Mus musculus: one gene and its partners. The protein of the gene in region 1 purifies or fractionates together with the protein of each later gene. This does not show direct contact. Links are inferred from orthologs where the notes say so. Each region holds a gene or a part of one and is shown in the gene's direction. Other genes may lie near its edges. The genes, in order: Cdk8, Med23, Med16, Med13l, Med9, Med24 and Med12l.

The links.
Region 2: the proteins of Cdk8 (region 1) and Med23 purify together in Homo sapiens (affinity purification with mass spectrometry; 10 studies listed by BioGRID and IntAct, counting the BioPlex papers as one, with this or other methods). This does not show direct contact. The link is inferred for Mus musculus from reciprocal best matches to the Homo sapiens genes CDK8 and MED23.
Region 3: the proteins of Cdk8 (region 1) and Med16 purify together in Homo sapiens (affinity purification with mass spectrometry; 10 studies listed by BioGRID and IntAct, counting the BioPlex papers as one, with this or other methods). This does not show direct contact. The link is inferred for Mus musculus from reciprocal best matches to the Homo sapiens genes CDK8 and MED16.
Region 4: the proteins of Cdk8 (region 1) and Med13l purify together in Homo sapiens (affinity purification with mass spectrometry; 6 studies listed by BioGRID and IntAct, counting the BioPlex papers as one, with this or other methods). This does not show direct contact. The link is inferred for Mus musculus from reciprocal best matches to the Homo sapiens genes CDK8 and MED13L.
Region 5: the proteins of Cdk8 (region 1) and Med9 purify together in Homo sapiens (affinity purification with mass spectrometry; 10 studies listed by BioGRID and IntAct, counting the BioPlex papers as one, with this or other methods). This does not show direct contact. The link is inferred for Mus musculus from reciprocal best matches to the Homo sapiens genes CDK8 and MED9.
Region 6: the proteins of Cdk8 (region 1) and Med24 purify together in Homo sapiens (affinity purification with mass spectrometry; 13 studies listed by BioGRID and IntAct, counting the BioPlex papers as one, with this or other methods). This does not show direct contact. The link is inferred for Mus musculus from reciprocal best matches to the Homo sapiens genes CDK8 and MED24.
Region 7: the proteins of Cdk8 (region 1) and Med12l purify together in Homo sapiens (affinity purification with mass spectrometry; 3 studies listed by BioGRID and IntAct, counting the BioPlex papers as one, with this or other methods). This does not show direct contact. The link is inferred for Mus musculus from reciprocal best matches to the Homo sapiens genes CDK8 and MED12L.

What each region holds. Positions count from the first base shown.
Region 1 is NC_000071.6:146,300,102-146,303,742, forward strand, and holds the end of Cdk8 (cyclin-dependent kinase 8), read left to right. Parts: intron 1-1,474; coding exon 1,475-1,600; 3' UTR 1,601-2,773; downstream 2,774-3,641.
Region 2 is NC_000076.6:24,868,679-24,873,209, forward strand, and holds the start of Med23 (mediator of RNA polymerase II transcription subunit 23), read left to right. Parts: upstream 1-1,307; 5' UTR 1,308-1,420; coding exon 1,421-1,468; intron 1,469-1,775; coding exon 1,776-1,807; intron 1,808-1,985; coding exon 1,986-2,073; intron 2,074-4,531. UniProt on the Homo sapiens protein: Required for transcriptional activation subsequent to the assembly of the pre-initiation complex. Component of the Mediator complex, a coactivator involved in the regulated transcription of nearly all RNA polymerase II-dependent genes.
Region 3 is NC_000076.6:79,893,904-79,896,847, reverse strand, and holds the end of Med16 (mediator of RNA polymerase II transcription subunit 16), read left to right. Parts: coding exon 1-89; coding exon of another isoform or gene 90-94; intron 95-283; coding exon 284-500; intron 501-1,137; coding exon 1,138-1,221; intron 1,222-1,437; coding exon 1,438-1,564; 3' UTR 1,565-2,141; downstream 2,142-2,944. UniProt on the Homo sapiens protein: Component of the Mediator complex, a coactivator involved in the regulated transcription of nearly all RNA polymerase II-dependent genes.
Region 4 is NC_000071.6:118,559,218-118,563,924, forward strand, and holds the start of Med13l (mediator of RNA polymerase II transcription subunit 13-like), read left to right. Parts: upstream 1-1,501; 5' UTR 1,502-1,568; coding exon 1,569-1,640; intron 1,641-1,644; exon of another isoform or gene 1,645-2,594; intron 2,595-4,707. UniProt on the Homo sapiens protein: Component of the Mediator complex, a coactivator involved in the regulated transcription of nearly all RNA polymerase II-dependent genes.
Region 5 is NC_000077.6:59,946,604-59,951,414, forward strand, and holds the start of Med9 (mediator of RNA polymerase II transcription subunit 9), read left to right. Parts: upstream 1-1,610; 5' UTR 1,611-1,663; coding exon 1,664-1,875; intron 1,876-4,811.
Region 6 is NC_000077.6:98,708,738-98,712,815, reverse strand, and holds part of Med24 (mediator of RNA polymerase II transcription subunit 24), read left to right. Parts: intron 1-140; coding exon 141-283; intron 284-1,515; coding exon 1,516-1,553; intron 1,554-1,726; exon of another isoform or gene 1,727-1,830; intron 1,831-1,960; coding exon 1,961-2,043; intron 2,044-2,362; coding exon 2,363-2,541; intron 2,542-2,653; coding exon 2,654-2,753; intron 2,754-3,058; coding exon 3,059-3,234; intron 3,235-4,078. UniProt on the Homo sapiens protein: Component of the Mediator complex, a coactivator involved in the regulated transcription of nearly all RNA polymerase II-dependent genes.
Region 7 is NC_000069.6:59,005,330-59,010,056, forward strand, and holds the start of Med12l (mediator of RNA polymerase II transcription subunit 12-like protein), read left to right. Parts: upstream 1-1,648; 5' UTR 1,649-1,672; coding exon 1,673-1,771; intron 1,772-4,727. UniProt on the Homo sapiens protein: May be a component of the Mediator complex, a coactivator involved in the regulated transcription of nearly all RNA polymerase II-dependent genes.

The sequences.
Region 1 (3,641 bases):
AAGTCCCTTCACCAGGAGGATTCAGACTCAAGCACCCGTGTAAGTGCTTGGAGGCTTGGTGGCCCATCTGTACCCCTTTGGTCCAGTCATTTCAAAGGCAAAGACAGGATTCTAGTCAAGTGAGCTCTAGGGTCAATTGAGAGGCCTTGCTTCTGTGTCAAGTGGAGAGGAATCAACATCACCTCCGGTTTCCACACGCATTCGTGCAAAGTGAAGCAAAACACAGCTTCAGTGTTTCTCATCTATAAAATGAAGTTGGTAAGTCAGCTTAAACATGTGTGCCTTGAACTTAGCCAATGGCTGCTTTTGTTCCTGAGCACTGTAGAAGAGGAGTCAAGGCCACGGGCTCTTAGATCCCACCTACTTCTGTTCAGCCTTGAGTAAGAGAGAGACCTGGATGTTCTCCATGTCTTAAGTGTGGGGAGGAAGGTAGAACAGAAATCGCTTGCAGACGGCATCAGCAGCAGCAGAGTAGAAACAGTGACTAGAATGTGAAGCTGTGGGAAGACTGAGTGGCTGTGTGTTCTGAACATGGTGGCCTGCCTGGGGAAGCCCTGCACAGAAAGTGCCCTTACATGGTAGAATGCAGCTCATGAAGGATGTATGAGTTTGTGTATGTTTTTATATGTGTGGGCACACAGGCATGTGGATGTAAGAATGTGGTGTGTGTGTGTGTGTGTGTGTGTGTGTGTGTGTGTGTGTGTGTGTGTGTGTTCAGGCCCTAAGTTGATATCAGGTGTCTTTCCCTTGTTTACTGTGGCAGTGTCTTACACTGAACCCAGAGCTTGCAGATGTTAGCTAGTCTAGCCGACCAGCTTCCCCTACAGATCTTGTCTCTTCCTCCCAAGTGCTGGGATTACAGAGAGCCACCATGCCTACCAGCTTTTTTTGTTTTGTTTTGTTTTGTTTTGTTTTGTTTTGTTAAATACGTGTTTGTTTGTTTGTTTGTTTGTTTAATATATGTGAGTGCACAGTTGCTGTCTTCAGACACACCAGAAGAGGGCACCAGATCCTATTACAGATGGTTGTGAGCCACCATGTGGTTGTTGGGAATTGAACTCGGGACCTCTAGAAGAGTCAGTGTTCTTAACCGCTGAGCCATCTCTGCAGTCCGCCTACGAGCTTTTATATACTCTGGATATACACACTGAGTGCCTCATGCTCATGTCGCAAGATATGATCAGAATTGCCCACATGGTGTCCCAATTCTTACCTTCCTGGAGAGAAGCTGATGTGGGAAGAGTTGGGAGCTTTGTTTGTTTTTGCTCTGTTTTGCTTTGTATGGGCCAGCTGAGGGGTTTGCTGCTGCTTAGCCAGTGTTTTTATATTTTAATTCTAAAGCTAGTGCCTTACAGAAACTTATACATCTTTGCTTCTTTGAAACAAGATTCCCTTCCCTATCAGCCTTGATGGCGTGGGGCCAAGCTACCTCGAGAAGTCCCTGAATCACGCTTTTCCCTCGTCTTCTTTCCAGCGTTCCAATCCACATGCTGCTTATCCCAACCCTGGACCAAGCACATCACAGCCCCAGAGCAGCATGGGATACTCAGCTACCTCCCAGCAGCCTCCACAGTACTCACATCAGACACATCGGTACTGAGCTGTGCTGGAGTCTGTCAGTGCACTGTTGCTCATGCTGCAGGACTGGCTGCGGCACTCGCGGGAACCTGGTGTGGGCCATGCGAATGTACTGTACAACCACATCTTCACAATGTCCAGTAGCCGAGTTCCACCAGTTGTCACAGATTGGGGTGGTAGCTTCCAGGTTGTACCTAAGTTTGGAGTTAGACTTGAAATGAAAGTGCTAGCACAGTTGTGTTGTGGGTTTGCTACTTCCATAGTTTACTTGACATGGTTCAGACTGACCAAGCATAGTTTTCAGTGACAGTCTGTAGCAGTTGAAGCTGTGAAATGTGCTAGGGCGAGCATTTGTCCTCGTGTGTGGTGACTTTGAGTGTAACAGCGTGATCTGACCAATAGTACACACAGACGCAAGGTTTAACTGGTACTTGAAACACAGATTATGTTAACAAAATAACCAAGATTTAAAGATTATTTTGGTACACCTTTCTTTTTAGTGTCTTATCAGTGGGTTGATTCATCTTCTACATAAATCAGTGTTTTATGACCAAGAATATTGCTTGGATTGTTTTGAAAGTACAAAAGAACCACATAGTTTCTACTGACAGGTTTCAGAGCTCCCAAAGATTAATTTCCAACTTAGAGGTTTGTTTTTATTTTCAACCTATGACGACTTGACTGGTCTTAAAGCTGCTATTTGATAGTAATTAAATATGTTGTCATTGATAGAAGCCTGTTGGTTCAGCAAACTGAAATGAGTGTTGCAGACAGGGTTTTCTTTTCCTCGTTGGTGTTGCTGATTTGTGAGCATGCTTTCTGAATACAAAAGCATGAGTGGCGACCTCCGTGAGGCACGGTGACCTCCTCGAGGCACGGTGACCTCTGCGAGGCACGGCGTCAGTCCGCACTCTTCTGTCCTGATTTGAAGCTGCCTAGTGTAGTGCTATTACAATTTTGTTCAGTTAACTTTCTTTTTAAAAGGTTGTTCGCACATTTTTAGGGTGCCCTTACTTCAGCAAAGGAGAGGGAGTAGGAGAGCCTTAGAACTTTTGAGGGGAAAATAAAAAGCTATAACATACAACGTACTGTATCAAACTATTTTACATGAATGACACAAGTATTCTGAATAAAAAAAAATTGAACATTGTTAAAAACAAGGTGTTATGTAATAAATTTATTTTTCATAAATCAATGTATGGTGTCAACTATATTTTTCAAATTCACCAAGGGTCTTTTGTTGTATTTTAAAACATGCCTCTGTATAACTCTTCCCAGTGACTTATTGGTGACAACTGATGGCTTAGGCTGAGGTGTGCACTCTGGTCAGCTGTCTAGGTCTGTAGCACAGGGGACAGGTAGCTTTATAGTCGGCTAGTTCTGGTAATGGTAGTTCCACTCCGTTACCCTTGGTTCCTCCTTTTTAGAGCTAACAGATATTTTCTCAAAATCTGAAGCCATCCCTTTAAAAACAATCTAGCGCAGTCCACGAGCTGAGGAATCAGTACTGGTAGGCCTGACCAGAAGAGAAAGGGGGGTTGCTGGGAGTGGCATTTCCAAGTCTTCTCACCCCTGTTCACACCCATACTGCATGCCTTTGATCACACAGGTCCCTCCTTAACCCTCTGAATTGAGTGGTTGTGTTTGGTTTCTGTCAACCTTAGCTCTCACGGTGTTTCTTATGACCCTTACACGTTGTCTTCTGGTGTTTTTCTCCTATACTGAGTGGCTTAGAAGCCCAGTGGCTGTGAGGGCCACCTACACATTCCCCCTTCGCCAGCTAGTTCCAGAGATTGACTCAGTAGGACTTGGGTGGATATGGAAATGTGGCTCCTTTCCAACGAACTCCCCCAGTCCTGAGACGTGAGCCTGAGAAATATGTTAGGAAAGACCATTCTGTGGGGCTGGAGAGATGGCTCAGCACTTAAGATCACTGCTCTTCCAGAGGACCATAGGCCAGATCACAGGCATCTTAACTGCAGCCCCAGATGCCCCCTTCAGGCCTTCATGGGTACTGCATACATGTGGCCTATCATGCACACTCAGGCAAAACACTCGTAAAA
Region 2 (4,531 bases), on another chromosome or scaffold:
AGTTCAATCCTAACCCAAACCCTAGCACACCTAACCCTAACCCCAGGTCCAATCTGAAACCTAACCCAACACTTCTTCCTGGCAGATAGTCTCAGGGGCGTCCCATCTCTCGCCATGAGAAATAGAAGGATCAAATATTCAAGGTCACTCTGCTACATAGTAAGTTCATGGTCAACTTGGGATACAAAATACCCTGTCTCAAAACTATAAAATAAAATGAAGACGCCATGGAAACTCAAGATGGTCCTTACACGATTCCCCAGAAGCCCCTCTAATTCTCCAACATTGTGTTAAATTTAAATATTTTATTGGGAGGGTACTACACTGGTATGCCTTTTTGTAAGTCATCTATGCTTGAGGTAGGAGTTCCTAGTAATGAGGGTACCCGAGTCACGTGCTTCTATAAGAAACTATAATAAGCTCATTGTTTTACCAAGCTGGATTTGAATGAGATTTTTTTTTTTTTGAGGCAGGGTTACTCTGTGTAGCCTTGGCTGTCCTGGAACTCACTTTGTAGACCAGGCTGGCCTTGAACTCAGAAATCCACCTGCCTCTGCCTCCCAAGTGCTGGGATTAAAGGCGTGCACCATCACCGCCCGGCAAGATCCTTTCTTTAATCTGTCAATGTCCTCTATTTAGGGTTTATAAACATTTATTTACATCTCCCCAAAGAGGGAAAAGTCCTGTGAGAACTTATCTCCAGTCATGAAAACCAATTAAAAAAATATGGACTTAAATACCAAAGCTAGAACAAAGTTTCTGGAAGAAAACATTGACGAATAGCCTTTGGATAGACAAAAATTTCTTCATACTAAGACAATAAAAAAAAAAGTTTTCAGAAATTTACCAGGATGATGGGAAAATTGTTTTAAAATGATGTACTTAGTACCGCCACTTATTTGCGAATTAACAATAAAGGGTTTATTCTTTTTTTTTTTTTCAACATTCAATAAACGATGACGACACGCCCATCACTGTGCTAGCAACTGAGGGTACCATAGTGAAGACATGGGTCCTATTGGGCAAGAATAACGTGGTATCAACTGCTTCACGAGGTCAGCTCTTGACAGTCACCCACTTGGTTCTGGCCACAGCCCTTGTGATTCGGATCTGCAAATGAAACTCCAAACAGGTCGCAGTTCCGGCTCCAGCCAGGAGAGGGTGGCCTTGCCCGGGATCAAGCAGCGCTGTCAGCTTACGGGGTCACCTCTACGAGCGGAACCAACAGGCTGAGATACAGATTTCAGAGGGGCTGGTAACGGGTAAGCACCGGGCGGGCTCATTCGCCTGGCACCGAAGGAAGTAACAGAGCAAGAGAGAGCGGCGGCTTCCTGCTGGTGGCTCCGCCCCTCCGCTCCATTCTTTCCCGACCCTGGCTCTCACCCGTCTGTCGCCGGGTTCCCCGGGAGCCCGGGGCTCGATGGTACCGATGGAGACGCAACTGCAGAGCATTTTCGAGGAGGTGGTGGTGAGTGCCACTGTCCGTAAGCCAGAGCCATGGCTCCGGGAAGTGCAGGCTGCGTGCGGCTCCAGGCTGCGGGCCTGGGCCAGCTCCTTTCCCGCCCCTATGTTGACATAGGCGTCTGAACCGGGGTGGCGGTCCCCCCATCCCCGGACTGCTGCCAGATCTAAGAAAGTGCTGTTAGTTCCCGCCGCGGTCCCCATAAAAGTGTCGTGCTCTATCTGTATTGCCCGGGAATATTTCTCTCGGGGACATCTCCCACCCCGCCCCCTTTTAGTAGTCAGATCGTTTACTAGTTTTTGTTTGTTTGCAGAAAACAGAAATTATAGAAGAGGCCTTCCCAGGGTGAGTATGTGGCAGGCAGATCTTTGTGTGTGTGTGTGTGTTTTTTTAATTGTTGTTTGTAGATTTATCTTTGTTAGATTCCACTTAAGTTGGTTTTGAGGAGTTAAAAAAAATCTACCTTGCAGGATGTGTACCTGTTTAAAACTAGCAGCAGATAATGTGATTTTTGTTTTTTCAGAATGTTTATGGATACCCCCGAGGATGAAAAAACAAAACTAATTAGCTGCTTGGCGGCCTTCCGGCAGTTTTGGAGTGGACTTTCTCAGGTGAGACATTTCATGTTGAACATCCACTTAATGACGTTTGACGCCTTCCTTTTTACTTTTTACATCTTCTTTGATCTTTTTCTTAAGATCGTTTAGGAAAGGGAAAAATAAGACTGCTGTCATTTTATGTAAATGTACTTACTGGAGAACCTGTGTTAAAAGTTCAAGGTAATAAGATTGCAGTGGGAAATGTTTTAAAAATTTCCTTCTATGTTATATTATGTAAGGTAGTTTTTATCCTCTTTGTATAAATTGGCTTTGAATGGAAACAGATATGCTAAACTTTTCTCGTAAAAGAAAAATGTCACTATTCAAAAAATGGCCCAGTATTTATAAATATGTCCTCATAAAGACACTGTGATAGAGTCCCCACTAGAGTAGTATTTCTCATGATGCACTGTAGACAGAGAAGTGAGCCGCTGGGCTTTCTGTGCCTGTGAGCTAGTATAAAATTTGCCACCCAGTTATGGATCCTAAAGGCAATATGTTCATGTTTTAAACTTTCTATTTTCAACAGGTCATGCTTTGACGTGAACCTGAAATATATAAGGCAAGCGTGACCAAGCTCCACACGCTGGCCGTCTTCCTGATCTAGCTCAGCCACCTGCCCTTCCTGTCTGAAGCCAGCATCCTAGTTTGTGTTCCCAGAACTGTTTAGCTATAAGACTGTCTCTCTGTGTCCTGAGTTCTAGGATTATAAAGCCATCTTCGTTCTTTTCTCTTTAAACAGTGCTGGGGTGTGGGGGGTGAACACAGGGCCTCACACACTGGTCTCCGAACATGTGAACATGTGTCCACATGCTAGGCACACAGTCGTCTCTGAACTACATCCTCAGGCTCACAATTATTATTACTATTATTATTTTCTGCTTTTTGAGTTCGAGACCACGCTGGCCTCGAACTCAGAAATCCACCTGCCTCTGCCTCCCAAGTGCTGGGATTAAAGGCGTGCGCCACCACCGCCCGGCTCAGAATTATTTTTATAGAATCACCATATACCATAGGTATTGGTCAGCAGTTAGCTCTGTACTTCTCACCATTAATAATAAGTTCTAAAGGTATTTCAAGGAATTTTTTGAGTTACAGTTTCTTTCTTACTTCTTATAGCGGTGTAGCATATTGTTATGTGTCCTTACCACCTATATTTATTAACTACCTTCTTGCTTTCAAATTTTTCTTTCTTTTTTTCCAGATAGAGTTTTGTTATGTAGCCCAGGTTAGACTTGAACTTTTAGTCTGCCTTCCTCTGCTTCCTGGTGTCATAGGATAGACCACCATGCTTAGCTAGATGTTTCTCTTCACTTTTTACTTACTTTGGGTGTGAGTGTGTGTGTGTGTGTGTGTGTGTGTGTTCAAGACAGGGTTTCTCTATATAGCCCTGGCTGTCCTGGAACTTTGTTGAACAGGCTGGCCTCAAACTCAGAAATCCGCCTGCCTCTGCCTCTCAAGAGCTGGAATAAAAGGTGTGCGTCACCACCGCCGGCCCACTACTTTTTTTTTTTTTTTTCGAGACAGGCTTTCTCTGTATAGCCCTGGCTGTCCTGGAACTCACTTTATAGACCAGGCTGGCCTTAAAGTCAGAAATCTGCCTGTCTCTGCCTCCCAAGTGCTGGGATTAAAGGCGTGTGCCACCACTGCCCGGCCGGCCCACTACTTTTAAGTAGTGTTACAGTAAGTAGTACTATTGATCAGGCATAGGATTGAATATTGGGCATAATATTGGTATAAATCAAAAGCTTTTTTTTTTGTCTTAGTTATGGAGGGGAGGTGTATAACACACATGATATAATCTCAGTGTAACGCAGATTTGCCTGGGATTTGATCTGTAGTCCAGATTGGCCGTGAACTCATGACCCTCCTGTCTCTATGTCCTCAGTACTGAGATATACGCATTCATAATCACCCCAGCAATTTATAATTTTAAGGAAATTACCTAATTATTTCTTATAAGGGTTATCTAGTTTACATTATCAATACCAACAACCAATATAATTTCCTGAAGGCATATAATAAAATAGTAATACTTTCTTATCCTTGTGTATCAAGCACTGGGAAATTTTATCTTGGTAAAATTTACTTTTTATCTTTCAATATTTAGCACATTTTATGCATTTTTAATTTTAAAATATTTGTTGGTCTTTTTATTTTAACTTTGTGTGTGTGTATGTGTGTTTGTGTGTGTGTGTATGTGTGTGACAGTACTTGTGTACAGGTCAGAGGACAACTTACAAGAGAGAGTCTCTACTATACGGACCCTGGGAATCAAACTCAGCAAGTGCCATGCCTGCTGCACCCCTGTCAGGCACATGGAATTGCTAAAGTCATTTCCTAAGGATTTAGTGATTTATGCTGTGGCCTTTCAAGATGTTTATATAGTGAGAGAGAAAGATACAAATACAATTGGCAATTCTAAATCAGATGATGGGTGGTGATCATCTGGAGGAGCAAGGTGTGTAGA
Region 3 (2,944 bases), on another chromosome or scaffold:
CAGCTGTCTGCCCGTCTACACAGCCACCTCGGACACCCAGGACAGCATGTCCCTGCTCTTCCGACTGCTCACCAAACTGTGGATCTGCTGTGAGGCACTATCATACACATTCTCACAGCTTCCCTATCAGCCCACCTCCAGAATTTAAGCTTCCCGCCACTTCCCCAGCACTTGGCAGGAGCCCGTCCCTAATTCACAGTTGTGATGTCTGAGGGCAGAGCCCTAGGGAGACGTAGCGGGTGCCACATCCTTCAGTGCGGTGACTCCCGACCCCTCCCCGTAGGCCGTGATGAGGGCGCAGCCAGTGAACCAGATGAGGGTTTGGTGGATGAATGCTGCCTGCTGCCTAGCCAGCTGCTGGTCCCCAACTTGGACTGGCTTCCCGCCAGTGATGGCCTGGTCAGTCGCCTGCAGCCCAAACAGCCCCTGCGCCTGCGCTTCGGCAGAGCGCCCACTCTGCCCAGCAGCACCTCCACCCTGCAGCTGGACGGCCTCACCAGGTATGCACTGCCCCTCCCCACTGCCCATCCACCCCCTCTCCCTCCCCCACCCCCCGCCTCTGAAGGCCTCCACACCACAGCTTTGCTTCAGGGTTCTCTCCCACAGAGGCTCCAGCGCCTTCTAGAACATCGTGTCTCCAATGGTCAGGTCCTTGCAGTGAGATGAGAACTTGCCATTCTAGCCTTTGCTGTGTGCGTAGAGATGGGGTTTGTGGTTTTCCGACCAAGGGTACCTCTGGCAGTCCTGGCACTAACTCTGTAGCCCAGGCTGGCTTCCCACCAGCCTCCACCTCTGAGCCCACAACACTGCGTGGAGAATTCATTTTCTTCACCCATTTGGATTTGCTGAAGCTGTAATGGAGCCCTTGCCTGTCCCAAGCCATCGTTTGCTGATAAGGGACTGCCGTGCCCCTCCAACAGCGAAACCATTACCCCCTCCTGTGTGTATACTGTCCCATCAGTCACATTTGGAAGGTTCTAGAAGAAACACTGGCCCTATCTCACCAGGAAAAGGCCATTGGCTGTTTGTTATGGTTGAGCCCCAGGGTGACACACCAGAAGCTACCCTCTGCCTCCTGCCTGACAGGGCACTGTGGACATAGGTCCCACATCCCCCTCGCTCCCCTCTCATCCCCAGGGCCCCTGGCCAGCCCAAGATCGACCACCTCCGGAGGCTACACCTGGGCGCCTACCCCACCGAGGAGTGCAAAGCCTGCACCAGGTGAGGAGCTGCAGCCAGGCCCAGAGTTCTGGGCGTCCCTCCTGGGCCACACCGGCAGAGCCTGGGATCTGTGGGGTAGGCAGCTTGGGGAGGGCCTGGGCTGTGGCCTTGTGTCAGACCTGACTTGGGCAGGCTAGGGTTTGGGGCATACCACCTTGCTCAGCAGTGCAGTACTTGGGAGAGTAAGGTGAGTGTTAACAGTCCCTGCTTCCTCAGGTGTGGCTGTGTCACCATGCTGAAGTCTCCCAACAAGACAACCGCTGTGACACAGTGGGAACAGCGGTGGATCAAGAATTGCCTGTGTGGTGGGCTGTGGCGGCGAGTGCCTCTCAGCTGTTCCTGAGCCACAGCCCACCAGCCTGCGTATGTACAACCAGTCTCTGAACATTGACATTGCTGTGCTCACTGAGGCACAAGTACCCACCAATGGCCCCTGGGTCTGCCCCTTCTAGGGACATGCGGCATCTCTAGGGCCTGAAGTCCCATGGTCATATCCAAGCCAGTGTGAAGGAGCTGGGCTGTGTATTCATCCTTTAAAAGATCCACAGTGGCCGGGCGTGGTGGCGCACGCCTTTAATCCCAGCACTCGGGAGGCAGAGGCAGGTGGATTTCTGAGTTCGAGGCCAGCCTGGTCTACAAAGTGAGTTCCAGGACAGCCAGGGCTACACAGAGAAACCCTGTCTCGAAAAAACAAAACAAAAAAAAAAAAAGATTCACAGTACATAAAGCCCCTTGTCCTGCTTGGGGTCGTCTGCCTCAGTTTTCTTGTCCTGCTTGGGGTCGTCTGCCTCAGTTTTCTTGTCCTGCTTGGGGTCGTCTGCCTCAGTTTTCTTGTCCTGCTTGGGGTCGTCTGCCTCAGTTTTCTTTGGGTGCCGGTGGGAGGGGAAGACTGGCCCAATAAAGTTCTCTGATGCACTAGGCTTTGGCTGTCACCGTGGTCCCCACCACTCTGCCCACTAGGTGAGGCTCCGTGCTGAGGTACCCACACATTTGGAAACTGAGTGACTGCTGGCCCCACTTGTGTCACAACAGACTTTCCCCTCCCCAGCTGCCTCATCTCCTGGTTTTTGTGGCCTTTGCTGTAGTCCCCAGAGGTTCTGCTTTCTAGCATCCATACCACACCTGCCCCCTGCAGCCTCGGGTGGCCAGGCCGCAGCCTCTTTGCTCTTGGTAACTGGTGTTTTCTCCCTGGAGCCCTGTGGAGCTGAGTACAGGGCAATGGCCACGATGACCCAGCTCTGGGGAGGGCCTGCCTGAGCCGGTGCCCCGGAGGATGCTCCACTCTGCTTGGCTACTTTGTGGGTTCTTCTTTCTTCTACCCCTTCAGCCCCCTGACACTAATGGGGATAAGGGGTGACATCACGTTCAGACTGCCTCCCACTGATGAGGAGCATTGCGGTCCTTGGGGCAAGTTTGATGTCACCAGCAGGATATCTAACTTCTTTGCACAGGACTGCTTAACAAACAGCAACCAACCACCAATCCACTATCAACAACAACAACCCTAGCATATATATATCCTCTTAAAAATCCCCAGAATTGCAAATGTCACACAGTTGGAGAAACTAGCTGCAGCTGGCAAAACCACGCCTCTCCTAGATCACGAGGCAAATCATAGTCAGCTGCTGTGGACAGTCTAAAGTAGCCCCACATCTCACACCCGAGATTAAAGCAAAAACCAAAACCCAGAATTATCGATGTACTCCACCGCAGTGTGAGGGAG
Region 4 (4,707 bases), about 28 Mb from region 1:
TTGCACCCCGATTCTGAGGACTCTGTGAAATGACCTATGTGTTCGGGCCACCTTCATTCCAGGGTTTAAGGTTTGTGGTAGTCTCAAAACTCCATTCATATGTCAGATTTGTGCCCGCTTTATTTTGCTTCCACCGCTCTTTCCAGCGTTTTACTCTTCCTTTGTTTCTTGGAGACAGTGTGTAGACCAGGCTGGCCTGGAACTCATAGAGATACGCCTGCCTAATTCTACCTCTTTCCAAGTCAACTTTCTCCCTTTCTCTATTTCCACGACGAAAAGTCCTGGAAGGCAGTCTCCGGCATCAGCACTTCTCCCAGTCCCATTACTCTCTGAAGAAGGGATGCTGGTTATTATTGACCGCTTGGAGCTGGAGGAAGGGCCTGCTCCCCTCCACATAGCCCAGTGTGAATGTGGCACCTAAGAGCGCTGGGATCATCTATGTAAGGAATGCCTGCGTGCACGCACAGAGTGGGCGCCAAGGGCTCCAGCAGCCGGGATGCTTTAGGAGCTCAGCGCTCGGGAGGCAGTGAGTCCCGAGCCCTGGCTTCCCGATGCCTGGGTTCGAATCCCGCGACCCCGGGCAAGCACCTCGCTCGCTGCCTTTGTGTCTCTTTGAGTCCTACTCCTCCGCCCGGTGCGCTGCGGCAGGCAGGCCGGCGGGCGGTCGCGCGCGAGGTTTCGAGGAGGAGACACTCCTCGGCTCGCTCGGCCAGGCCGGGCCGGCCCACGCCGCTCCTCGGGGACCCGAGATGCTCCCCCAGGGGGGCTCGGAGGCCGCTCCGGGGAAGCCGCGGCCCTCTTCGGCCCGCGCCCGACGCGCGCCCGCGCCCAGGGCGGGGCGTCCACGCAGCCCCGGCGTCCCACGGCCGCCCGCACCTCTTTCTCTTCCCTCCCTGGCTCCGTCACCCCGCTCCGAGAGGGCCGCGCTCGCTCGGCTCAGCAGCGCCTCCCGCGAGCCACCACCGCCGCCGCCGCCGCCGCCGCCGCGGCCCCTCCCCCGCCCCCCGCGCGGCCGGCGCCCGTCACGTGACGCGCCGCAGCCAATGGCGGGCCGAGCCGCGGTCGGCGGCCGCCATTGCTGTCAGAGCGAGCGAGCCCGGGGAGGGAGGAGAAGCGCGGCCGACTGGGGAGGAGGGGGGGGGTGGGGAGGAAGAGGAAGGAGGGGACGGCGCTCGGCTGCCGGGGTCGCCCGCTGGCTTCGTCCGCACCCCCCCCTTCGCGGGCTCGCGCAGCGGCGGCGGCGGCGGCGGCGGCTCGGGGCGGCTGCGGGGCTCGCGTGCCTCCCGCGCCGGCGCGGCCGAGGGCGAGTCGCCCGCCGGCTTGGAGATAAACAAGGCGGCCGACGAGGCGGCGAGGCGGAGGCGGAGGCGGCGGCCCTGCGCGACAGAGGCGGGCGGCGTTGCCGGCCCGCGCCCCCCGCCGCCGCCGTCGTCGCCGTCGTCGCCACCGCCGCCCTCGGGCCTCCCGCGCGGGCCTCGCGCCCCTGGTGCCCGGGAGCCGCCGCCGCCGCCGCCCGGCCCGGCCCGCTCCGACATGCCCCGCTCTGGCGGCCGGGCTCGCGGAGGACCATGACCGCCGCGGCGAACTGGGTAGCGAACGGGGCGAGCCTGGAGGATTGTCACTCCAACCTCTTCTCGCTGGTGAGTGGCGGGGCGGGGGGGAGCCCGGGTTGGGGGGCGCGACCTCCCCGCCGCGCAACTTTCTCCTCCCGGAGCCCTGGCGGCGTCGGCGAGCGCGGCGCCCGGCGTGGACGTGCGTGGGGAAGTCGGGGCGCTGCGGACGCCGGGGCGCGCTCGGAGCGCCCACCTCCGTGGCAATCACACCCCCTCCCCTCCCCTTCCCCCCTTATTTTCTTTTTTTTTCTTTTTTCTCCTCCTTCCCCGAAATGTGGAAGGCTTTTCTGCCTTGTGCAGCCGCCGGCGCGGGTGAGCTGCAGGCTCGTCCTCTCTCTCTCTCTCTCTCCCGATCGGATCGGCTGCTCTCCCACTCGCCGGCGTCTGCCTTCTGATTTTTTCTTTCTCTCTTCCTCTGTTTCTCCGTTTTTTTCCCTTTTTTTTCCTTTTAATATTTCCACAATGACACCTGCGATTTCGCCCGAAAACAGTTGATGGAAGGCGATGGTGTCAGGGAAAAGGACTCTGGCAGCCGGAGCTCGCTCGCGCCGTTGTAAACACGGACAGCCGCCCGCCTCTCGGGGTTTACTACGCCGGAGAGCGGGAGAGCCATTGCTCGGAGCCCACGGAAGGTGGAGGAAGCTGCTGCTCCTCGCTCTCCTCCGCTGCCTTTAAAAACTGTTTTCTCTGCTTTAACAAGGAACACACACACACACACACACACACACACACGAGCAACAAGCTGGGCGGTTTGATAACATCGCTTTTATCTGCCTTCGCCTCTCCTCTCTCCCGCTCTCGCCTCTGATAATTGACAACTTTTGCTTTGGAAGTGCATCGCCTGCCTTAATCTCGAACCATTTAGGGTGTCAATTGTTCTTCTGGAAGCCTGGCACCGGGCGACGGCGGCTCGATTCGTCGAAATTAAAAATGTATAGAGCTCCAGCAACTCTTTCCTGGCGGTGGCAGTGACATTTGGTGGTAAATGCCATCTTTGCTTTTTATTGGGTCGTATTACCTAGCTCTGAAAACATTCGCGTTGTTAAACCCGGCGCTTACGCTGATAATGGGAGTGCATGGTCTTTAAATACGCGCTTTGTGCCTGAGTTACTGTGTGTGTGTAGCTATGTGCCCGGGAGAGTACGAATTTGTTTAAATATTGAGCAAAGATTTGTAAACAGATGTAAGGCAATTATGTTTCAAGCGTAGAATATAATTGGAAAATTGGTTGAACGGCCTATTTAATTTAGCCTTAAAAACTCAACTTATTTTAGTTGTGTGCCCAATTTTGGTGGGGAGGGTGCTGGGGGGGAGGGTGCTGACTTTTGGAGAGCATGCATTTATTGCAAATTATTTTCTGGAACCCCTGCTGCAGATAGAAGCTTTATTTCCTTTTAGTCCTTGTTTACACTGGATAAATAATTTAGTGTTCAAATTGTAATTAGTTACATTTAATTATGGGTGGCATAGATGCTTTTTCTCCCCTTGGAGACTAGTGGAGAAAGAGGAATTGTTGCCAACTTTGGAAGTGTCATTCTGTTTTCATGCTGATGAAGAAATCAAGCATGATTTTGGCCTACAAAGACACAGGAGTGACACAGTCCCCCTGCTCCCACTCTTGTAAGCAGGCTGATTCCTGATCACCCCGAATTTTATCCTGAGGCTGTTTCGAGGTTCAGTTAGAAGTTGGGGGTCCTTCCTTTTACCCCTGTGGTAATTTACCGTTGATCTTTTGATGTGAGGATAAAACTACTTCTGTCTCTTTTTTCACCCCCCCCTTCCCTTGTCTGTCATTTATTATTAGGTTCAGGGACCTTCATAGATCAGCAAATGTATTGACTAGGCGGTATTTACCCCCCCCCCCAACCAATTTGGTGACTGGGTGACCGCAATGACACTTTTATAGGTAATTAAAATAACCAAGTCAGCTGGTGTTAGCTGGGGAGAGCTCCCACTTGCTGTGCATCAGGCTGAGAGCAGTGCTGCCTGTGTGCATGTGGCTAATGTATACACAGTGTGTTGTGCAGGCAAATGCATGCCTGCTGACTGCACAGCTCCACTCTCAGCTTCAGGGATCTATGGGGTAGAGATGAGATGGTCCGGATTCTTTCTTTAATTTCTGGACTTTGATTTTGACTGCATTCTGGGTATTTCTCCGCTTAAACCAAAAAGTTGACTTGAATATAAAGTACAATTAACTTTTTTGGGTAACTCCATTGAAATGCAGAAATGGCTTAGATTAGTTTTAAAATGTAACGTATTTCCTGATACCTCGAGGTAGGTAAATGCTGTCTAGTTGTTTAAGAAATTTATCTTTATTTTATATGCATCGCTGTTTTGCCTGCTTGTGTGAGGGTGCTGGGTTCTTTGGGATTGGAATTAGAGACCATTGTGAGCTGCCACGAAGGTGCTGGGAATTGAACCCAGATTCTCTGGAGGATCAGTCAGTACTCTTAACCCCTGAGCCATCTCTCCAGCCCTAAACTTTCTTAGAAAACCAAGCCAAATAAAAGAGACCCACGGAAAACCAAAACCAAGAATAAACTGCCAACAGTCCTTTATTCGGATTCTTAATTGAGAATTTTTTTCTGAAGAGCATACACACAGCAGCAACCTATCTTACTTATTGAGAATACATTGCGTAAAGAACATTGTATAGAATAGTTGATTTCAAAGGAGAGGCATCCTTTCAAAATCTTTTTTTTTTTTTTTTTTGTCAGAACTCTAGGTACCTAGCATTTTGTATTTTTGAAAAGTTTGGCCTGCAGTTTTGTTTCTGAGTGCAGAATAGTCACTTCTGGAACACTACCCACCCACATGCTCCTGTTAGCTTGGATGGAGGTGTAAGCTGGAGCCGAGCCCCGAGGGAACGCGACCCACTACTTCCTGAGATCCTGAGGCCATCGCCAGGGCTTAGCAAGGCTGACTGAGCAATCAGGCCTCTTACGATTCTTGTTCCTAGGCTTTGACTGAGTTTGTTTTCTGATACTGCCTGGAGTCCTGTTTCCTACTCTTGCTTTTCTGTCTCCACCCCCACCCTAACCTGTGAAAGGCCATTGGATGGCTGTGATATGGGCCCTTGTGCTGTTTCTCT
Region 5 (4,811 bases), on another chromosome or scaffold:
AGTTATAAAACACATTAAGGGGGGAAAGATGATGTTTGGTTGCTATGAGGATAGTATCAATGGCTACTAGATGCTTTTTGAATTCTGAATAAAAGCTCACATTAACATTTTGAATCAAAAGTTACAGATCAGGGAGGAGCCTGGCATCACATACCTGTAGATTTTAGACATAGACTTGGTGTCAAGGAAGCTCTGTGGCTTTGTGATCCTGGGGCTGCTATTATAGCCCTGTAAACTTTTGTTTCTTTTTCTATAAAATGGAAAACTAAGATATACCTTCCAGAGTTTCTCGGTGGATTAAATGAGGGTTTTAATGGTTTCTCGTCACTTTCATTCCACAGTAGTAGTGATAGCTACTGTTTGCTAACACTGCCGTTTTACCATGCATTCTCCCAGATGTCTCCAGAGGTGTCTTCAAGTCTTTTCTGGCACACCTGGTTCCATCTTAGACCATTCTCTTCTCCCTTCTTCCTCAGGAATCATGGCCCTTCCCCTAAGGTGGAGAGGTCCTGGGTTAGAAGGAAATCCTACAGTTTCCTGCAGTGAGAAATGTTCTTCTAATCAGACACTTAGTTCCACAGGGGCCTGTATTCCCTAACTCCACTCCCCCCACCCACCTTTCCCTTTGGGTGATTAGCCCATTGAGTCATATTGAGAAGTTGTGTTCCCACTAATGGGATGAAATGCACCTAAGCCTGAGATGGAAGAAAGTGGCCATTTTGTTGAGTGTTTCTGCTATCTTATCTTGAGTTCTGGTGCACTCATTTTCAAGAAATAAATAAATCACCTTGTTTCACTTTGTTTCTGTCTTCTTTTGAGCAACACTGAGATTATTCTTTTCCTGACAGTGCCTCTGTTTAGAGAACTATCTGCAGCTCTGAAGAAAACAATTCTGAGACCTGTAGCTAAAAAACCTGAAAACACCATTGTGAAGTTCCACGTTCCTGCTTCTTTTTGTTTCTGAGATGTGGGCTCCTGGCCTCTCTTTACTGACATGGTTCCTGTCATCAAAGACAGATGTCCTCTCCCAGTTGACAGCTTCCCTAATCCCTGATTTTTGTTAGTCAGAATCAGAATTACTGCTACCCTTGTCCAGAAAATTTTTAATGGAGCCCATTTGCTTGAAATGAATAAATACAAGCCTATCGTAAAGTTCTCCTATTTGGTCCAAGATCTTAGTCTTATATACGTATGTAGTCTGGCACCTGCTAGATGCATACCAAATGCTTGAAGAACGATTAGTTTTCCCCTTGGCAGCCGTGTGGAACTAGTTTGTATGGCCTGTTTTGCTGTCGCCAGTCTGGGGCCCTCCTGGAGGCTAGCATGACACAAAGACGTGTAAGTCCTTGTCATCTGGATGCTCGCTGCCGCAGAGCCTCAGTTTCACACGGTGCTCACCAGCGTCATCCGTTCTTCCTGCCAGTCCCGGGGGTCCTCGTTGGTGTTTTGACCTCTCTCTGTCATGTGAACTAGAAAGATGACTGGAGTAGATTCCCTAATCCTGACTACTCAATTTAGCTTTCCCGACACCCGTCGCCTAGCAACGCCCGCCCGCCTACGCCCAGGGCGCAGACTCAGAGTTTTTTCCCGCCCGGCCTCCCCGGGCGCGCAGTTGTGACGCAAGCACCCAGCGCCCCTCGGCAGCTGCTGGACTCCTGGTGCTATGGCTTCCTCTGGGGTGGCGGGTGGGAGACAGGCCGAAGATACGCTACAGCCACCGCCCGAGCTGCTGCCGGAGTCCAAGCCGCCACCACCGCCTCAGCCTCTGCCGGTCGCTGCGCTCCCGCCGCCGGCGGCTCCGCGGCCTCAGTCCCCCGCTGGCGCGAAGGAGGAGAATTACTCCTTTTTGCCGTTGGTTCACAATGTCATCAAATGGTAAGGGTCTAGGAAAGGTTAAGACACCACTTTTTGCGACTCTAGTGTCCCTGGTTCCGAGCTGCCAAAGCCCGTGGGCTCTGGACCACGCCCCATTTTCCCAGAGGGCCCACGTTGTCAGGCGCCTTAAGAGTTACACTTTACTCCCGGGTGAAGCCCACGTACTGATCAAATGCATAGATAGGTTCTGCAGTGTCCCATCCCAGATCCTGCAGTGACTTGGGGATGGGTCTTAAGTCCTTACACATAGCCCGAAGGCAATTTTATACAGTTGTTTTAATTCGCCTGCGTTTTGACTGTTCGCATGAAGCCCAGAGCGGAATTTCTCACTTGTGGCATTATATGAGCCCCGAAAAGTGTTCGAATTTTGGTGGACCTCAGACGTTCAGACTCGAGATTCTCACCGTGTACACAGTTTAGTACCCATTTCAATGCGAGGCATCTTACCTGTGTGGGCTCTGTTAGGTACTAGGGTTGTACACCGTAAAGAAAGGAGCAGCCATTTACCCTTACAGGGCTTAACGGTTACAAGCAAAGAAAAACAAACAAACATTCTTAAAAGTGGAGAGATGGCGCACACCTTTAATCCCAGCACTTGGGAGGCAGAGGCAGGCGGATTTCTGAGTTCGAGGCCAGCCTGGTTTACAGAGTGAGTTCCAGGACAGCCAGGGCTATCCAGAGAAACCCTGTCTCCAAACAAACAAGTGGAGAGGGGAGAAGTGATGCTAGGAAACATTTGAAACGAAGACACAGAAGTTGCTCTGAATGATTGTGTCCCACTATTAACTTTATTCTAATAATTCTAATAGAATATACAAGGATGTATGGTCTTTTAGGCCCAAAGTCTCCAGTCTCCATGATGGCCTATGTTTTTGCTCACTCCATATACGCTTGGGTCATTTCCAAGAGGTACACTTTTTGGTGCAAGCATTCTCAAGTGTGCTTTGATAAACTTAGGTGACGCGGAACAGTTACTGCCTGGTGCCTCTTTGTGCAGTCAGGATTCTTAGCAACACTGGGAGTTGGACAGGTTGGTGGGTAAGAGCACTCGCGGTACAAACGGCACAAGGATCTGAGTTCCAATCCTCAGCGTCCACATAAAAAGCCAGTCATGGCTGCTCGTGCCTGGAGCCCCAGCGTCCCAGCGCTACAGACAGATCTCAAGAGCTCTGGCCAGGCTGCCTGGCTGACACTGTTAACTTCCTATTTAATATGAGACCCTGTCTCTAGGCAACAAGGCGAAGCGCTACAGTATAATACATCCATAAACTAGTGACATCATTATTTATTATCATTATCAAGCATTAAGAACTACCTGTAATTGTATAGGTAATACTTTTTATCCATCAGGCAGTATACTTTTTTTTTTTTCACACTCTTGTGAGTGGCGCATTCTGCTGCAACATTACCACAACTACTTTGTCATTAGGCAAAGGAAGGTTTTGGTTACATTATAAGCATTAGACAGTTACTGAATATATGATCTGGCATTAATCAGGTTATTTAGCACATACCTGTATAGCCACAGGACACTAGGTGCAAACCTCTGAATTTCTTCTAAACCATTAGATACTAAAAGTAAATTAAGACAAGATTACAGTTCCGGTCACATTTAGGAACATTGGCAAGCCCTCTTGCTGGAGCTGAGGCAGTCTGGGTTTCTTGCTCTGGTGGTTTGGTGTTTGTCTTAGGACTGCTACTGCTGTGCTGAAACACTGACCAAAAGCAAACTGTGGAGGAAAGGGTTTATCTGACTTACACTTCTGTATCACTTTTCCTCACTGGAGGAAGTCGGCAGCAACCTGCAGGCAGAGGCTGATGTAGAGGCCATGGAGGAGTGCTTTCTTGCTCAGTGCGCTCTCTCTTCCTTTTTTATTGTGTTTGTTTCTCCTTGTATTCCTGGCTGTTCTGGAACTATTTTTAAGCCAGGTTGGCCTCAAATTCAGAAATCTGCTTGCGTCTACACCCCTACGTACTGGGATTAATGTCATGAGCCACCACTGCCCAACTTCAGCGTGCTTTCTTACTCTAGTAAGACCACCAGCCCAGGGTGACTCCCCACAGTGGGTGGGGCCTCCTCACTGTAATCACTAGTTAGGATGCTCTTCAGGCTCGCCTACAGCATGCTTCTGTGGGAGCATTTTTCCAACTGAGTTTCCTTCCTCTCTGCTGACTCTGTGTTAAGTTGACATAAAAGTGGGATAGCACAGCGCTCATCTGCCGCTTTTCAAATGACTGCAAAACCTTGGTTCTCACGTTCACTCCTCTCTTGGCTTCAGACAACGTGAACCTCCCGTATGCAGGGTAAGGCAGACTGTCCCCTCTGTGTTAGCTGTTGGCAAATACATTATGAGATGGAAGTGAGGAAAATAAAAACCATCTCAGGGCAGTGCTGGAGTACTGGTTTATTCAGAGTAACTTGCAAACATTAAAAACATGGGAAATCAGAACACAGATGTATACACATTCACCTATACCTCAGGAAGGATCCTCCTGACCCGGAAGAGCAGTTGGGTTGGGCCAGCCTCAGTGACAGGAACACGATGTGAAGTCAGAGGGTCTGAGGTCAACTCTCTGCTGAAGCTTGCTTTATCATCTTTGTAAATAGTTTTCCCAGGTGGTAATTTTCTGTCTCGATACATCAGTAGTAGTTTGATCTCAGTGGTGGTGCACACCTTTAGGCCCCAACACTCAGGCCACTGAGGCAAATCTCTTGAGTTTAAGGCTAACCTGGTCTACATATCTACTTCCAGCCAGCTAGGAACATTAGGTTCAAACCTCAGCTCTGTGACTTATGACTAGGTAGGCTTGGGCCGGTAGCTCACTTCTCATAGAACTGGGAGATACTCTAAAGTGCAGACCTGTGAAAGATGGCAGGGTGATCACATGGGCTTGTCTAAAGGACCCACAAGGAATTTTTTTATTTAGCATGTAAG
Region 6 (4,078 bases), on another chromosome or scaffold:
TGGCAGTGATCTTCCTGTTCGAGCAGGAAGTGGCAGATTATGTTTGAAGGTGCAGTGTGCCAATCAGCGGACACAGGCAGAGAGAAATGTGTTTAGGCTGTATCTGAGGGTGTCTTCACTGGACTCCCGCCTGTCCCCAGACAATGGATGCAGATCACTCCAAGTCCCCGGAGGGACTGCTAGGGGTCCTGGGACATATGCTGTCTGGGAAGAGCCTGGATTTGCTGCTGGCTGCTGCCGCCGCCACTGGGAAGCTTAAATCCTTCGCCCGGAAATTCATCAAGTGAGTAGAGCTATGCCCTGCTGTGCGATGGGAGGTCGTGTGAGGGTGGAGATGCCTGGATATGGGTTTCCCTTTGAGGTGTACAGACCAGGGCAGAACATCCTAACTAGAAACTGTGACAGACGTGTCACTCGACTGAGAGGTCTTCTCTCTCTCACTGAAGATGGAATAAAGCCGCTTGCAAAGATAATGAGGCCTGTGGCAGGGAGAGGCTGAGGTCTGGAGAGATGGCTCAGCATTTGAGGGCCCTGCTGCTCTCCAAAGGGCCTACTTGGCAGCTCACACTTGTCTGTAACTCCAGTCTCAGGGGCTCCAGTGCCCTCTTCTGGCCTCTGCAGGATCTTGTACACACATGAGATGCATAGCTAACACAGACATGCTTAATGCACATAAAAATAAAAGATAGGGGGCTGGTGAGATGGCTCAGTGGGTAAGAGCACCCGACTGCTCTTCCGAAGGTCCGAAGTTCAAATCCCAGCAACCACATGGTGGCTCACAACCACCCGTAATGAGATCTGATGCCCTCTTCTGGTGCATCTGAAGACAGCTACAGTGTACTTACATATAATAAATAAATAAATAAAATCTAAAAAAAAATAAATAAAAATAAAAGATAAATGAATTTTTAAAAATAAAGCATTGAATAATAGGCATGGAAAAGTTCTTTGGCCCAGTTATTTATTTACTTTTGACATGGGAGCTCTTGTAGCCTGCTCTATCTAGTTTATGGTCTTCGTTTTTTGTTTTATTTTTGTTTTTTCACTGTGTAACAACCCTGACTGTCCTGGAATTTACTTTGTAGACCAGGCTGGCATCAAACGCACAGATCTGCCTCACTCTGCCTCCTGAGTCTTGGGACTAAAGGCGTGTATGACCACGCAGCTAATAATGGGTTCTTAAATTCTGTAACTTTTGGGGGGCTACCTGCAATTTTGTGTGTAGAACATGGTTCCTTACAAATCTTTGGGTCTCACTGTGTAGTCCAAGCTGGCTTCTAATGCTCCGTGTGTTAGCCTCTTCAGTGTTGGGGTAGAGTGTGAGGCACCATGTCCTTTTAATACTAGTGATTTGTTTCTGTAATTATAATACTCATTTTATATTTAAGCTTATAGTTGAGGTTCTAGGGCCCACCCTCTGAATGTGTAGCCCCCTCCCAGGCCCTACCCCCTTCTCCTGTGACACTGCTCAGCCCTCGCTCTGGTTGATGCTACCTGTCTCTGTCCTTCCTACAGTCTGAATGAGTTCACGACCCACGGCAGTGGAGAGAGCAGTAAGTCTGTGTCTATCTGCAGGTCCTATCTGCCCTGAGGAGGGAAGGAAGGGAGGGGCTGCGTCTGCTCATTCTGGGGATGAGGGTAATCCTGGGAAGGGACTCTGCCAAAACCACCCTCTGCCCTTCTCCCAGCTGGACCAGTTTTGACTGGTTTGGGTTCTGGAAATTGTGGATTCCAAGGAAGGGATGATGTTCTTAATAAGACCCAAGAAAAGGATTCTGAGCCTCAGAGCTTTGAAGGAACCGCTTGCTCCCTGACCTTCCTTCAGGAAATCCTGAGCTGGGGTGTAGCCTCCACACTTGGCTACTGTGCATGAGGCCTTCAGTCCCTGGCACCTCCCAATCTATACAGGGCTTGGGGCTCCTGCCCCGGGCCGAGCTTGGCATCTTTCTCTTTCCCACAGCGAAAACAGCCTCGGTCCGAGCCTTGCTCTTTGACATTTCCTTCCTCATGCTATGCCATGTGGCCCAGACCTATGGCTCAGAGGTAAGTGATGAGTGCTGGTGACAGGAAGAGGCCCCAAGTGAGTGGGGCAAAGAGGAAGGAAACGCCAGTAACTCCCTTACTCACCCTTGCCCAGACTGATCTCCCAAGCCAGCCTGTTCTGTTGTCTTCCCATGTCAACAGGTCCTCTCGTGGCAAATTCATGCTGACCACTAGGTGGCAGCACCGCTCCCTGTCTGATTCCCCTGGACAGATTTAGAGTTGACTATGGAAAGGGAATGGCAATAGAGCCCAGTCCCTGGCTAGCTCTGGCAGGTGCCACGCCCTCTTCTCTCAGCTGGTGCCCCTCTGTCTTACCCAGGTGATCCTCTCGGAGTCGAGCTCAGGAGAAGAAGTCCCCTTCTTTGAGACTTGGATGCAGACCTGCATGCCCGAGGAGGGCAAGATTTTGAACCCTGACCATCCCTGCTTCCGCCCTGACTCCACCAAAGTCGAGTCCTTGGTGGCCCTGCTCAACAACTCTTCAGAGATGAAGCTAGTGTCAGTGGTTTAGGTCCTGACCTCGGGTGGTAGGGAGGGGCATTCCAAGGCCCTCCCCCCTAATCCCATCTCATGCTCCCTTGCCATGATGTTCTCCTAATCTTCTCTGTAGACAGATGAAGTGGCACGAGGCCTGCCTCAGCATTTCAGCAGCCATTTTGGAAATCCTCAACGCTTGGGAGAATGGGGTTCTGGCATTTGAGTCCATCCAGGTAGCTCTACCGTTCCTTGAGTCTCTCTGCCTGAGACACGGGGCTGGTCACTGAGAGCTTGTTATTTTGCATACAAACAAATCCTCAAGCTGGAGATCATGTTCTGGTGTTAGTCTTCTATAGTATCCTCCTCTTAGCCACTTCATCCTGTCCAGGTGTCTTTGAGAAAATCAAGTTTATGTTGCAAAGGTGTGAAATGTACCTTGGGATAGCACCTGTGACCCCCAGCTGCCCCCAGAGGCCGTGGGAGTCATGGCCAGGGAGAGGAAGAGAGTCCCCAAGTCATTCCCTTCTCCTCCCCACAGAAAATCACCGATAATATCAAGGGAAAGGTATGCAGTCTGGCGGTGTGTGCTGTGGCTTGGCTCGTGGCCCACGTCCGGATGCTGGGGCTGGATGAGCGTGAGAAGTCACTGCAGATGATCCGCCAGTTGGCAGGGCCACTGTACAGCGAGAACACCCTGCAGTTCTACAATGAGAGGTCAGTGCCCCGGCCTCGGCAGGTGTGCGGTCGGGAGTCGGCACCACCAGGAACAAACATCCCACCCCATGCTCTCGGCCTCCGCTTCCCAGGGAGCCGCTCAGCAACCACTTCCTCCTCCATCCAGGCTCCGACCAGCCCACCGTGCTTAGCTGCTGAGGCAGTGCACATTCAGGGTAGTTGGACTCTCGCTCCCTCCTTCGCCTTCCCCTACCACTCCCTCGCATTCTTAGTCACACATTCACTCAGCTGGCTCAGCAGATGTTTGGTGTGTGTCTCTGTATCGAGAGGGTTTTAATCCCTGTACTTGCCATGCGTGGGAAATACAGACCCCAGACAGCTTGACCTGTGTCCTCCAAGGCTGCAAGTTCCAGAAAACTAGCTGAGGCCAGAGAGCAAAGGGATTGTGTGACTGTGTCACTGTCGAGGAACTCTGAGGCATCTGCAGTTTTTATGGCTTCCCTCCCCCACCCCCAGCTGTCCTGGTGACCATTTCAAGTACTGGCTCTTCAGGGACTTCCGCTACACGGGGCTTGGTGGTGTCTGTTTATTCACCCAACTGATAAGTTGTTTGGCCGTTGGTTTTTAAATATGGCAAGAAACACAATAGGAAATTTACCATTTCAACCGTGTTTATGTATATCGTTCAGGATATGAAACGTGTTGGAATTGTGAAACAGACTTCCAGGCGTTTTTCATCTTGTGTATCTAAGCTTTTAGCCAATAAGCAACTGTCCACCTCCCCTTCTCAGTTCCTGGCAGCTACCACGCGACTCTCTGTCCTTCTGAGCGGCCACGCTAGATACTTCGTATAACTAGAATTACGTAATACCTGCTTTTTCAT
Region 7 (4,727 bases), on another chromosome or scaffold:
AAAGGAGGACTCGATAAATGGCAGCCATCATTCTTGGCCAAGTGCTGGCGCGTTCTCCTGGGCGCGCCTCCTGCAGGGTCCCTTAGGACACGCTGGGCCCGCCTCCGAGGCTAGGTCTCAATGCTCACGGCTCTTGGCCCCGCATCTGTGTGTCTACCTGGAGCAAGCGAGGGGCGCCGGCAGGTGGATTGACCAGATCCCCCGAAAGGATCGCCCCCTCCCCGCGGTTCCCATCCCTGTGATGCGAGCAGGTGAGGTTTCGCCTAGGCTGCCGGGATGGCGACCCCAGGAGGGGTCGAGGCGGAGGGCGCAGCTCGAGGCCCGGGGTCCCTCCTGGGGCTGGTTCCATAGCCGGGTTAACCCTGCAGCCAGCTGGGGCGCAGGGCCCGTGGAATGCGCGCTCTGCGGCTGCGAAAACCCGGAGAGGCAGATGGGAGCGCTCGAGGCGCTCGCAGCCAACTCCTCCGCGGTCCGGCCGCCAAGCTGGGCATGCTCAGTGCGGCCGCCGCGCCGCCGTCCGCCAACTCGGGAGCTCGCGCTCCCGGGCCGTGGGGGCGAGAACGCTGGCGACAGCGAGCGACGCCCCCAGGCAGCCGCAAACTTCGCGGCGTCCGCAGTCTGGCGAGCCAGACACCTCGCAACGTCAAATCCAATTCCCCAACCCTAACGGAGCGATGGAGGCTGCGGCCGCCAGGGCGTCCCGGCTGCCCGCCCCTGCCTAGCCGCTAGCTAGGGACCAACAGGTAAACTGTTGGGGGTGGGGATCAGGGCGCGCGACGTCTAGGGGTGGCCCGGGGAGCCCAGTCGCCCGTGCTCCCGATGTGTCCGTCGGTGCTCGCGGCCACCTCTGCTCACCCCCTCCCCAGCCCCGGGAGGGCCAGCAAAGGGTTAAGTCGGCCCCGCGCCACAGCGAGCGCGGCCCCCTCCAGCCGCCGCGGCCGCTGCAGCCGGCAGCCAGCAAAGCGCCCCGGCGCCGCCGAGGGGACCCGCGCAGCTCGTGCACTGGCTGAACCCGGAGGCACCGGCCTCGCTCGGCGTCCGCATCCTCGCCTCTCGCGGCCTCTCTCCCTCCGCGTCCGCGGTTCCGTGCCCGGGCGGCGGGTCCTCCGAGTGCAAAGCTGCGAGCGCCGGGCATGGCGAGCCAGGAAGTGGGCGCGGGCCGCTGCGCAGCACCTCGCGTGCCCGAGGACGCCTAGCTCTCGGCGGGCACCGAGCCTCCCGCCTAGGCGCCAAGAAAAGTTTTTTCCCCCTTTATGCCCCTCCCCCACCCCAGCCTGGGCCCCTCTGGGTGGGTTTGGGTTCATTGGTGAAGAAAGTCACACGTTCCCATCATCTGCTCCTCCCCCTGGGGACCGAGTGGGGGTGGCGGGAGGCCGTGGCCGCGGCGGACCCTGGCCGACCTCCAGCCCGGGCGCCGCCGCCGCCGCCCGCGGAGCAGGCGTCCCGGGGCTCGGCGCAGCGGGGTGCCCACGAAGGCGGCCCCCCTGAGCGCGTCTGCGCGCGGGCAGCGGCCGTCTCCAACCTGCTTTTTCTCCTGCCTGCAGCGCCACGGCGAGCCAGAGTGGAGGGAAGAGGGAGTCTGTCTGCAAAGTGCTGCTCCCTGGTGCTCAGAGGCGGCTGCTCCAGCTCCAGCTCCAACTCTCATTCATTTCGCCGGTTAACATGAGAGATCATGGCCGCCTTCGGGCTTCTCAGCTATGAGCAGAGACCGCTGAAGCGCCCGCGGCTCGGGCCGCCCGACGTCTACCCGCAGGACCCTAAGCAGAAGGAGGTAAGGGCGCCGGCGGCCTCCGCGGTTGTGCGGCGCTCCGCAGCGCTGACCCGGGGCCAAGCTGGCCCGGCGGGCGTCCCCGGCGCTGCGGGGGAAGGGCTGGGGAGGGGATCGGAGGCGGGGCCCGGGTTAGGGTATCAGGGACCCTGAGCTACTGAGACCCGGAGCCTGCCAACCCCCGCGCTCCGCTGGGCGATCGCTCTGCGGGGGGCTGGGTCGCTTCCCGGTTGTCGGGCCTTGCACTGCGCCGCTGGGCGCTTTACCGCTTCTACCTCGCTAGCATCTTCTTGCTCGCTTTCCTCCGTTTTTGCTTGTTTTATTGTTTTTTACTCCGTCGCTTCGATAAATCCTCGTAAACTTTTTGACAAATGCTGGAATGCAGTACATCGGACACTGTGGTCTTGCGTTTTGCGCCAGCGGTATGGGTACGGATGGGGGAGGGACCCTTATCACATCCTCCACTTTGGAATGGAAGTCGTTTTTTAGCGAGGTGATCATATATTTGGCTCGGTGAATGTACCTCTGTATCTCTCGCCTTTAAAAAAAATTTAAGAAAACAATATTGAAGAGAAACACCGAATTTTGTTTCTAGAGAGACAAATTGGCTTTCCCGGAGGCTGTTTTGTATGTGTAAAAGCAGACAAGTTATCTTAGAAAGGAATAGCTTCCAGATTACTTATTTTCTTTGAATGAAATTAAATGGAGAAACCTTGGCTGTTGCACATACAGTAGCTTCAGTGGTTATTGTAAGCTATGTAGGTATGTGTCAGGAGTTAAAAAGTAATTATGTAACAACTCTCCAGCCATAATAATGATCGCCCTTGGCTATACAATTTGCCCAGAGACTTGCCTATCTTCTCTTTTTTGGTTCCCCTGCTCCCCAGCTGTCCTTTGAGACTTTGCCAGCTACAGCCCACCCATCTTCTCTTTTCTATAGTTAAGCATGAAACTGCCATGTATTCTAGTCTTCCCGTGAGCCTGGAAAGTCTATAAAAGTTTGCGTGTCCCCTGATTTCACAAGAGGACTTTGCAAGTCAGAGTTCTTTCAGGCTTCTATTTTGATAAATGTATCCGTCTCTTTAGTAGAGGCTCAGCCCAGACTGGCTAATAATGTGTCTGAGAAATCATCACGAGCAATTCCTTTTGGCCTTCTCCCATTGAGTTTGAGGGTCAGGGAAGTCGATTGAAGATGGCTGGGAAGTTTACAGGTGGGCAGCATGTGCTTATGCAGCTCCTAAGGTCTGGAAAGAAGAGAGACTCTAAAGACCAAGTGTAAAGAAAGGTGATTTTAAAAGTTTTGGCAGGGATAGGGACATTCGTTTCTTAACTTTTCTCATCTTATAATTAGTGCCTCACTAGGTCTTTCTGGAGAGTGACGTAGCTTCGGGTTGGTGGCTTGGATTAGCATGTGTGCTTGTTTATTTAGCATTTATTTTTACATATGACAGTCACTTCAGGACTTGGATCCTGGAAAGAATAATTTTGGACATTGGGTCACTTTCTAGAAATCTAAAGCTGGAAGAAGTGCCTGTAGAGGGTACTTTTTTCCTACTTTGATTTGAGGAGATAGGGTGATTGCAGCTCAGAAGCGCTTGCTTTATCTGAAGTGTGTGGTGAATAAGCACACACTGGGTTATCAGCGCAGCCCTCCTTCAGCCCTGCACTGTGTCCCGGTGACTTGTGCTGCTGCTGCTGCTCCTCGGATTCACTTCCCCCCAGGCGACCGATATTCTATCTCTCTTGAGGAGAGAGTTATATGTGGCTGTAGTCAAATTTGGGTACAATATGGAACAGGTGCTCGGCTGTTTTTTTGGTTGGTGGCGAGCAGATTCCTAAGCTTCAGTTATTTATGTATTATACTACTCCCTCAAATTTCCACCCTGTCCTTGTACAACCAGTAATTTGATCCTTTTATTAACTGTAGATAAACTGTATTGTGTTTTCTGGACAGTCTTGATTTTTTGCAGTTTACTGCAATATGAATATGATTGTATAAGACATCACCCCCCCACACATATATGTTATTATATGCAAACACAAGATATATAATTACACATATTTGAAGGAGGCCAAATCTATACCATTATCCATCAGAGAGCTGTGGTGATTTGTTTGAGAACGGTCACACTGATCTACCCAAGCTGATGTTGAACTCAAGATCTTGCTTCCATTTCTAAAGTCCTGAGATCCTAGACCTGTACCACCACATTGAGATAAAGTATTGATTGAATGGAGGAAGTCCAGGCTTCCGGTTTGACCGTGGTGAGTTTGAATTATGGTTGAGCATCTTAGTGGTTGGCAAATTTGGATCACGCCTCTCTTGTTAACTAGTTTAGTTGTGCTCGTCAGGAAAAACAAGGTAAAACTTTATAATTTTCCTCATGTTTGGGTAAGAAAATCCCTATTCTTCACTGAACCAAAGTTGCCTGATTGCTACCGATGAAGTTTTTATTGATAAGAAGTGGTAAGAGCGTTCTGGAAATAGGGTCCCAGGCTACGGAGTGGAATCCTTCGGGAGGACTCTGTGGAGACAGAATGAAAAGATCCGTTAACCTGCCTCATCAGTTGATCGAATTCATTCACGAGCTTTGCAGTGCCCTGGTCTCCCTTTAGACTTTATTAAATGTGGTGGTAGAGTACTTTGTCATCTGCACATAGACTGCCCTCCCCTTTAAAAATGGGGAATCAGAAAAGCAGGGGTCTTTCTCGAGTCTTCTTCCTCTACAGCTTATCTCCTTACCCATAGTATGTACTCACCAGTGTGTCTTGCCTGGTGTGCCTCTGGGATAGTTTGGATTTCTAACTAATCTGATGCTGCTCCTGAGTTTCACCAACTTGATGAGCTTCTTTTCTGGCTTTAGGCTGACTTTTCTCCTTCCTGGAACTCTTGTCTACCTGGTCACCTGCCTGCCTTTTCTCCTCCAAACTCAACATTTCATCCTGTTCTCATATAGCT